Linked DNA regions of Saccharomyces cerevisiae S288C. The main gene of each other region encodes a partner of the protein of the gene in region 2 in a complex. Each region holds a gene or a part of one and is shown on either strand. Other genes may lie near its edges.

What was found. The genes of interacting proteins can lie anywhere in the genome.
Region 1: MRPS9 (region 2) and QRI5 share a complex: the UniProt entries of both Saccharomyces cerevisiae proteins name them as parts of the mitochondrial small ribosomal subunit.
Region 3: MRPS9 (region 2) and RSM10 share a complex: the UniProt entries of both Saccharomyces cerevisiae proteins name them as parts of the mitochondrial small ribosomal subunit.

The regions. Positions count from the first base shown.
Region 1 is NC_001144.5:550,516-553,105, reverse strand, and holds QRI5 (mitochondrial 37S ribosomal protein mS38 QRI5), read right to left. Parts: upstream 837-2,590; coding exon 501-836; downstream 1-500. Other genes in the region: HMX1 (Hmx1p), read left to right, coding at 1-382; MSS51 (Mss51p), read left to right, coding at 1,146-2,456. UniProt on the Saccharomyces cerevisiae protein: Component of the mitochondrial ribosome (mitoribosome), a dedicated translation machinery responsible for the synthesis of mitochondrial genome-encoded proteins, including at least some of the essential transmembrane subunits of the mitochondrial respiratory chain.
Region 2 is NC_001134.8:533,397-536,607, reverse strand, and holds MRPS9 (mitochondrial 37S ribosomal protein uS9m MRPS9), read right to left. Parts: upstream 1,349-3,211; coding exon 512-1,348; downstream 1-511. Other genes in the region: RTC2 (cationic amino acid transporter), read right to left, coding at 1-33; alcohol dehydrogenase ADH5, read right to left, coding at 1,791-2,846; YBR144C (uncharacterized protein), read left to right, coding at 3,059-3,211. UniProt on the Saccharomyces cerevisiae protein: Component of the mitochondrial ribosome (mitoribosome), a dedicated translation machinery responsible for the synthesis of mitochondrial genome-encoded proteins, including at least some of the essential transmembrane subunits of the mitochondrial respiratory chain.
Region 3 is NC_001136.10:538,262-540,914, forward strand, and holds RSM10 (mitochondrial 37S ribosomal protein uS10m RSM10), read left to right. Parts: upstream 1-1,541; coding exon 1,542-2,153; downstream 2,154-2,653. Other genes in the region: Na(+)/Li(+)-exporting P-type ATPase ENA1, read right to left, coding at 1-206; YDR042C (uncharacterized protein), read right to left, coding at 2,340-2,653. UniProt on the Saccharomyces cerevisiae protein: Component of the mitochondrial ribosome (mitoribosome), a dedicated translation machinery responsible for the synthesis of mitochondrial genome-encoded proteins, including at least some of the essential transmembrane subunits of the mitochondrial respiratory chain.

The DNA.
Region 1 (2,590 bases), on a different chromosome or scaffold from region 2:
GGTCAAAAAGGGCACAAACTTCTTCACCTTCAGCGATCTGGGTCCCACTGAAGAAACACGCTTGAAATGGGAATACAAGAAGAACTATGAGCTGGCCACCAGGACGGAATTGACCGAAGCACAAAAGTTGCAGATCATTAGCGTCGCAGAAGGCATTTTTGATTGGAACTTCAACATCGTTGCAGAAATTGGAGAGTTGAATCGTCGCGAGTTAATGGGCAAGTTCAGCTTCAAGTGTATTACGTACTTGTACGAAGAATGGATGTTCAACAAGGATTCTGCTACTAGAAGAGCACTCCACACGGTCATGCTGCTGGTGCTTTCTATTATCGCGATCTGGGTTCTTTACTTCTTGGTAAAGAGTTTTCTTAGCATAGTATAACGTATAAAAAAAAAAGTCTAAATACAAACATAATATATACATGAAATAATATCAAAATATGAAGAATAGGGAAGGAAAAACAGCAGAGAAAAACATGTGAGAGGTTTTTACAGCCCTATTATCTACCCTGAGATAGCTTTCTTCTTTCTGCCTTCTCCCTCTTTCTTCTTTTCCGCAGTTTGTGTTTCTTCATCTTTTTTTTCCTCTTTCTCATCACTGAATCGAGTTGCATCACTATATTTGAACCGTTTAATGGCTCACTGACTGTGCCAGTGATCCTTGTTGCCGTAGCCGTCATCATCATCATTGTACTCAGCATGCCCTCTTGCATGGGAGGCATTGTAGTGTTAATTGCTGTTTGAAAGGTTCTGTTAAAGTAGGACCCGCAACTTGGTTTCTTAACCACCGTCCTAGTAATGCCCAGCCACCCAGGTCGCAATGCCCTTCCTAGCATGTTTATCTCGTTCTGGTGTCGTGTGTGCTCGTCTTGGCTGGAACTCAACCGCCTTTCGCTCTTGATATTATATTTGGCATTCACTTAAGTGTGCAGTATGGGGAAAGGGCTCTTTTTATCATGCGCTACGAAAAAGCGGCTCGAAGAAAATAATCCAAAGGAGTCTGACAAGAGACAATAGTAGATATTTGGTCAACTACTAAGGGCGGGCCTTTGGTTGTAGTTTTTTTACACTTTATAAGCGCAGAACACTGTAGATATTGCGAAGGTGGACTTAAAGTAGTTTGGCAAACTTGTACTTCCAGAACTATGACCGTGCTATATGCTCCTTCGGGTGCTACTCAGCTATATTTCCATCTGCTAAGGAAGTCGCCACACAACAGGCTAGTTGTCTCTCACCAAACACGTCGTCACCTCATGGGGTTCGTTAGGAACGCCCTTGGATTGGATCCTCCTCCCTCTCCAGAAGATCCTACTCCGGAGAACAGATTCCATCCATGGGATCAGTCTCCCTCAGTGGACTTGCGTGAAAGGGCCGCCAAGATTAGAACGCTAGCACACTGCCCTGTTACCGGCAAAGATATTAACTACACTTGTCCTCTGTCAGGAATTCCGACTCATCACTCACGAGAGGCTTGGGAGATGGATAAAGCATATCACGATTCTAAAAAATATGAAATCCTGAAAAAAGTTAATATTTATGAGCATGACTTAAGAAGCGGTAGACCCTTCCCGGAGTTTGATTTTCCCCAACAGCAAGGCTACGACAAGGCCGTTAACCTAACAAACTGGGATTTGTTTTTCTACACAAGATCATTCTATTCCATGGATACAGAGTTCCAATTAGCCGCAGTCACAAAGATGCTAAGCTATCCAATTACGATTGGGTCTTTGCTGCACAAATTTTCCCCGTATTCATTGAACCCAAAGGGGCCTATCACCTTAGAAGGTCTAAAATCTCTGGCTGCTCTCAGGTATACTTTATATCCGTTGGAGAATAGATCTTTACCAACCACAACTAAGAACCGTGCTATGAGAATTTTCATCCTAGGTGCACGTGCTGAAGCTCAATTGCCGGGCCACGTTTGGAAACAGCTCCAGTTTCTTTTCCCAGAGCAGAGTTTCGAAATACATTTCATTGGACCCGAATGCCTGTATAAAAGGGATAAACAGGAGTACGTCAAGTCTACTACGCCGGTAGTACAAAGAGTAGACGAGACTCTGAAATTCATTTATCGTACAAACTTTTTCGAAGTATTCCATGAGGCTCAAGATTTTTTCCCATACGATCCATACATGGATGTCTTTTTTACTTTCCATCCAGGCTACGCATCTCCAGAATCTCACGGTTCATGGATGGGTGAAACTATGAAGGCATTACTGGAAACAAAATGTGCTATCTTCACAACGGGTTTCAATAAGAAAGACCTAACGGACGACATAAATCTTGTCAAATCCAAATACGGTAAGGAAATGGATGTCTTAATGGAGCCCGTCAGAAACGTATTTGGAAGTACGAAGTGGGAATTAAATGACATGAATCCTCAAGAAGTTTATCAATTTAACATGTATATTGCCGGGTTCAGAGGTAAAAGGTACCATACAATCAAGAGACAATGATTATCGGGAGGCCATGCCCAACTTTCATCTTATAAATATATGCGTTTTCTACCGTTATTATAATTTTTTTCTTATGTATGATATCTCAATATCTGTAAATACAAAAATACTAACCCCACCCCCTTCGTAATGGT
Region 2 (3,211 bases):
CTTAGCATTCAAAATAATTGGGATCAGCTTCATGGCAGAAATTTAGGGATGCTCGCTTGAGGCTATTACGTCTGGGTTATAACAAAATATTGTGGGATATTACAGGAGAATAGTTTATTTATATGCCTGAACCCGGTGTTATTTGTAGTATTTATGGTTTATATTATGACTCTTTTTACATGTAACGGTCATAGTAAAATCTATTCTGATTTGCATCTTATCATCTCCTTCTTTTTTCCAATGGAATTTGAGTCATTGCTGCAAGGCCCCTTTGCTTTGCGGGTGAGAGGAAAAAAAAGATGAAGTATTATGTGCAGTAAGTAGAAGAAAATACTAACTGAGCAATATTCGAATACATATAACTTTATTTACAGGAATAACGAACGAGAGTTGTGCTTCTAATGCTGGGCGGCGTTGTATGCAAAATATATAACGTTTCTTCTGGCATGTGTCAAAAAACTCAGAGCACGCACGCTTCCGTTCGAAATTGAGGTAACAAGATGCACTAAGACTATCTCTTGACCCATGTTGGCATCTTTCTTGCCTTCTTTTTTCCTGGCTTCTTTCTTTCGACGTGCCTGTAATCTCTTGTTAAGACGCCAGCTTTATGTAGTCTGGATTTTAATAATGGATTGAACACAACCAAAGCTTTCGCAATGGCGTGCATGATTGATTCAGCCTGACCCGTAGGTCCGCCTCCAGACGTTGTCGCAAAAATATTGTACTTTCCAACTGATTCGATCACTTGAAGTGGATACATGATTGATTCTCTGTCTTTCATCTTAAGGAAGTAATCATTCAATTGTCGACCATTAACTAATATCTCACCTGTACCTCTAACAACGAATACTTTCGCAGTGGAACTTTTCCTTTTTCCAACGGCTATACTTCTTCCAAACTCATCTAAAGTTTTGATTTTGATATTATTGGAAAGCATTGAACTTTTTTTATAATATTGGGATAGTTCGGATGTGATTTCATCATTAGTAAGTTGAGGATCAATGTTGTGAAGTTTATTCAACATATACAGTAGCTGAGTATATTGCGTAGGCTTTAATTTCGTACCACCGCCGATTAAAGCGTACTCATCGAAAGAAATCCAAGGAGCTTTTGTTTGTTGTGCTTCATTGTTGTTCTGAGATGGCAGTTTTATGTATTTCCTTAGAAGTCTTTCGAGTCGATTAATACGATCTTCATGGTTAGGATTCGCCGAATAAAATGTGGCTAGCTTTGGGACGATCCTTCTGGGCAATTCATCCTCGGTTTTTTGATAAATAGTCCTAAAAGACATTCTCATAGGGGCAGGAGCCAGAGCTGCCCTTCGAAACAAAGAAAGCCTTGAAAACATTCCGCTTGGCTCAAACTCTGTCCACAACGAGTAAATTTTAGCTAATCAATTTAACCAATTTCTACTCCTCCTGGTTTCAGTTTCCAGTCGACATTATTAAATTTCTTTTCCGTAAATGGCCTATTTCAGTTTGTCTTACGCACGCAGTTGCTAGTTTTAAATATATCATTTTATACGTAAAGTTCATCTATATATCACATTATATGTCTCGTAAAACAATGGATTACAAAGAATTAGATATTGAAACGTTTGTATAGGTTGTTCTTGTAAGGCAAAATACCAAATGTCCACCGGTTCTCGCAAAGTACAGAATCACTCGCTATTTACTGAAGTTCAGAAATGGAGTAATTCTCATTGTTACAAATAAATCGTAAAAAGTCAATATCTACAAAATAGCTTATATAAAAAGTAAAAATATATTCATCAAATTCGTTACAAAAGATCATTTAGAAGTCTCAACAACATATCTACCAACAATTTCACCCTTCTCCATCTTTGCAAAAATTTCAGGAACATCCGATAGGCCAGCTAAGTGGATCGGAGATTTGATCAAACCTCTGGCGAAGAAATCTAAAGCCTCCCTTGTATCAGCTCTATTTCCAACACAAGATCCAACGATGGAGATTGATTTTACAACTTGATTGAAAACATCGGAATTGCAGTAAGCATGAGCTGGCATACCAACCAGGACGACAGTACCATTGGGCCTACAATACCTCGTAGAAGCCTCGATAGCTGCTTCAGAAACAGACACATTAATAACTCCATGAGAACCGCCATTAGTGGCCTTTATTATAGCACCAACAATGTCTTTTTCTTCCGTGAAATCGATGAATATTTCTCCGCCTAATTGTTCAAATAACTTTCGCTTGGCATTACCACCATCGATACCAATGACCCTGTAACCCATAGCAAGGGCGTATTGGATTGCCAGAGAACCCAAGCCACCGCATGCACCGGATATAGTGACCCATTGGCCTGGTATCACATTGGCTCTTTTCAACGCCTTATAAACAGTGATACCTGCACACAAGATTGGGGCAACTTCAGCAAGATTGACGTTTGGTGGAATATGGGCAGCTTGAACGGCATCGGCAGTTGCGTATTCTTGAAAAGTACCATCATGTGTGAAGCCAGTACCATCCAAATAAGGACATTGAGATTCATTACCTACTTCACAATATTCACAGGACATGCAAGTCCCATTCAACCATTTTATACCTGCAAAATCACCGACTTTCCAGCCCTTAACGTTAGATCCCAACTTAACAACAACACCAGCACCTTCGTGACCACCGATTAATGGAAATTTCAATTGAAATGGCCAATCACCGTGCCACGCGTGCAAGTCACTATGACAAACACCAGAATATTTAACGTGGACTAAAATTTCGTTAGGCTTAGGTTCCGGAACTGTGACGTCTTTATATTCCAATTTTCCATCTGTCTCATAAAAGACAATAGCCTTTTGTTTTTCAGGAATGACTTGCGAAGGCATGATGCTTTGATTTTGTAGATATGTAGTTAAATAATTTTCTTAGGTATCTTCCAATCAGAGACATTGTGAGACAGTAAAGCAGTAGTTTGCGCTAGAAATATCTTGTAGTCCCTCTTTTATATTCGTAGTATGTTATATAGATTACAATCTAGACAATACGAAGGAACGATCCCGCGTCAGCAGATGTCACAATTTGATTATTTCATTGTCACATGCTTTTTGACTCATCCTTCCGCGAAAGGAGAACTTTTTACAATGCCGCCGGCTCTGTTAGCGTACCCTTCTACAAGCAGATAGCAGAACAAACACATGATATATTCAAAAGGTGCAATGTCAGAGAACATATATTGCGCCCCTGTCCTGTA
Region 3 (2,653 bases), on a different chromosome or scaffold from region 2:
TGATGGAGGACCATTGCCTTGTAATCAATTTTAGTGTCATCACCCAATGTGTTCTCACCCACTGTTTTCAATCTGTGGACGAACTCATCTTGGGTCAAACCTTCAGTTAGACTTGTGCCTATGAATTCAGCGGCTTCTTCTGCAGTCAGCGTGTGATAAGCATTGAATTCTGCATTATTGTTTTCCTTAGTAGTTCCTTCGCCCATCGAAAATTTTCAATTCTGTGTACGAAGTTTTTTCTTTAATTAGTAAATATACGTATTGTTGCCTCAAATAAATGTGAATTAAGTGTGAACAGTTCACTTGATGAAGATATCTGCTTTATTAAAGTTAATATTAGAATATAAATGATTAGACTATTACTAATGAGAAAAGAAAGATAGGAGAAATAGTAGAAATTAATAGTACTCTAAAAAGAAAGAACGGAATAAGAGGAAAAGACCTTTTATCTATTCAAATTGTTTCCCTTAGGTATATATATATATATATATATATATATATATTTTCCCTGTATATATCTATGTAAATGACGAAAACGCATGACATTTTAAAACCTACCCCGGGTTTGACCACAACCCACCGTTCATCTAATATTAACCCGCACCCACCAAGGAAAGAGGCAATAATTCGGGAATACTGCTCTAAGACCTTGTTTTTTCTTCTGTCAGGTGAAAGTATATGACCAAAATCTACATCCCTGCCCTAACAAACGTCATAGAAGTAGGAAATAAATGATGAGCCCCGCAAAATGACGCCGCACGGCGATGTTTAAGACCCTGTACTCACAATGTAACCACTTCGTGCAGAAGCTTCTGGGAGGAAAGGGTCCGTACATGAATTATCACACCCACACCCCTCATTCAATCCTTCTACCGCGCATGGTAATCAATCATAACAGGAAGCGATAAGAAAGTTTACATTGCACAGCCACCCTCATTGCCTCTGTGATTGAAGATCTGGGAGTGGGGCTAAAGGTGCAACTTCCGTACAAGAGTGACGAGATAAAGGATTTTCCACGGAATGGCTGACAAAATTCGGGGCTTGTGTGAGTTCCACGTGCGGATGACTTAATAAGCTCAGTGATTGTACTTTTGACATGATTGATGAACGGCTAGAGATAGCCACCGAGTGGCTACTTAGTAATAACCAGCGTAGGAAACAATTACGGATTTTGTTATCGTTCACCGATAACCCTAAAATATTGACCACACTGGTAGTCATTAGAATTTAACCAAGAGGGTAGCTTAGTTCGACCGATAATCAATATTACTGAAGTCTTATCAAATTCTGACTCTTGCCATACCGTTTCTTATCGTCACTGTTTAATCCGGAAATTAGTCATGTATCCACACATCCTTTATTAACAGCAGAGAGATTGGGCAAGAATGTTAGCAAACTATGTACCAGGCGGGTAATACCTGTACATCTATTTTCTTTTGAAAAGGAAAAAATGCAAGAAAGGGCATGAAATGAAACTATTTGGTACAAATTAGAATTATGCGAACCGTGCAAAATCAGAAAAGGGGGAAAAACATTGGCCAATGCTTAGAAATACCATTGCATTAAGATCATTTATCAGAACACAGTCGACGCGCCCATATCCTGTAAATGTAGAGGCAGTCTACTATGCTCCTTTAAAGTTACCTATCAAATATGGTGATTTAGTTGCAGACATTCAGTTAAGATCGTATGACAATGAAAACCTCGATTTTTATTCAGACTTCATACTTAGAACAGGTTACTATTTGGGTATCCCATTGACAGGTCCTAAACCTTTGCCCACGAGAAGAGAAAGGTGGACTGTAATAAAATCACCTTTCGTGCACGCTAAATCCAAAGAGAATTTTGAAAGACATACACATAAGAGGCTCATTAGGGCCTGGGATACGAACCCCGAAGTGCTACAGATGTTGATAGCTTACATTACGAAGCACTCTATGGCAGGCGTCGGAATGAAATGTAACTTCTTTCAAAGGTCCGAAATATCGCTGGACTTGGGTTCGGACGCCAATGGCCTCGAAAAATCACTAAGCAATATCGATGAATTGTATTCTCTGAGAAACGATGATAAAGCTCAAACTAGTGCTGTCGGACAAAAAGTATTGGAACTATTGGATAGCCCCGATTTTAAAAAACATTTGGAAAAGAAGTAAAAAGATGATGGCAATCCTATAATTACGCTGGTTCTTGGGACCGAAAAGATTTCGTACTTGTAAATAAAATAGGTGAAGAAGAGGGGCAAAAAGTAGTAGATTAAATGGTTATACTGAATTTATAAGTAAGTTTAATTATATTTTTTAACTATATGATGAACAATTTTGTACTAATATTGCGGCCCGTTATGAGTATTGCTCTTGCCATAAAAGTGTGTTCACTGCTTTGTTTCCTGGTACTGCATACCGCTTAATATTGTTATCGCTCAATAAATTTAGTTTCTGGAAGCTTTCCAAGGACTTACCAGGTAGCGGGCCTGAGAATCTATTTTTTAGTCCATCGGCTACAAAAATCGGTAGTATATTTGTTCTTGGTAAGTAAGCTTTGCTAAAGGAAAGTGTCCTTTTTCTGTTTGTATTCTTCTTCGAATTCCACCTGAAATGTTGGACATTCAGGGATGTGTGTAACCGATACTTCTGGTCAGAGAGTTTGTATACAA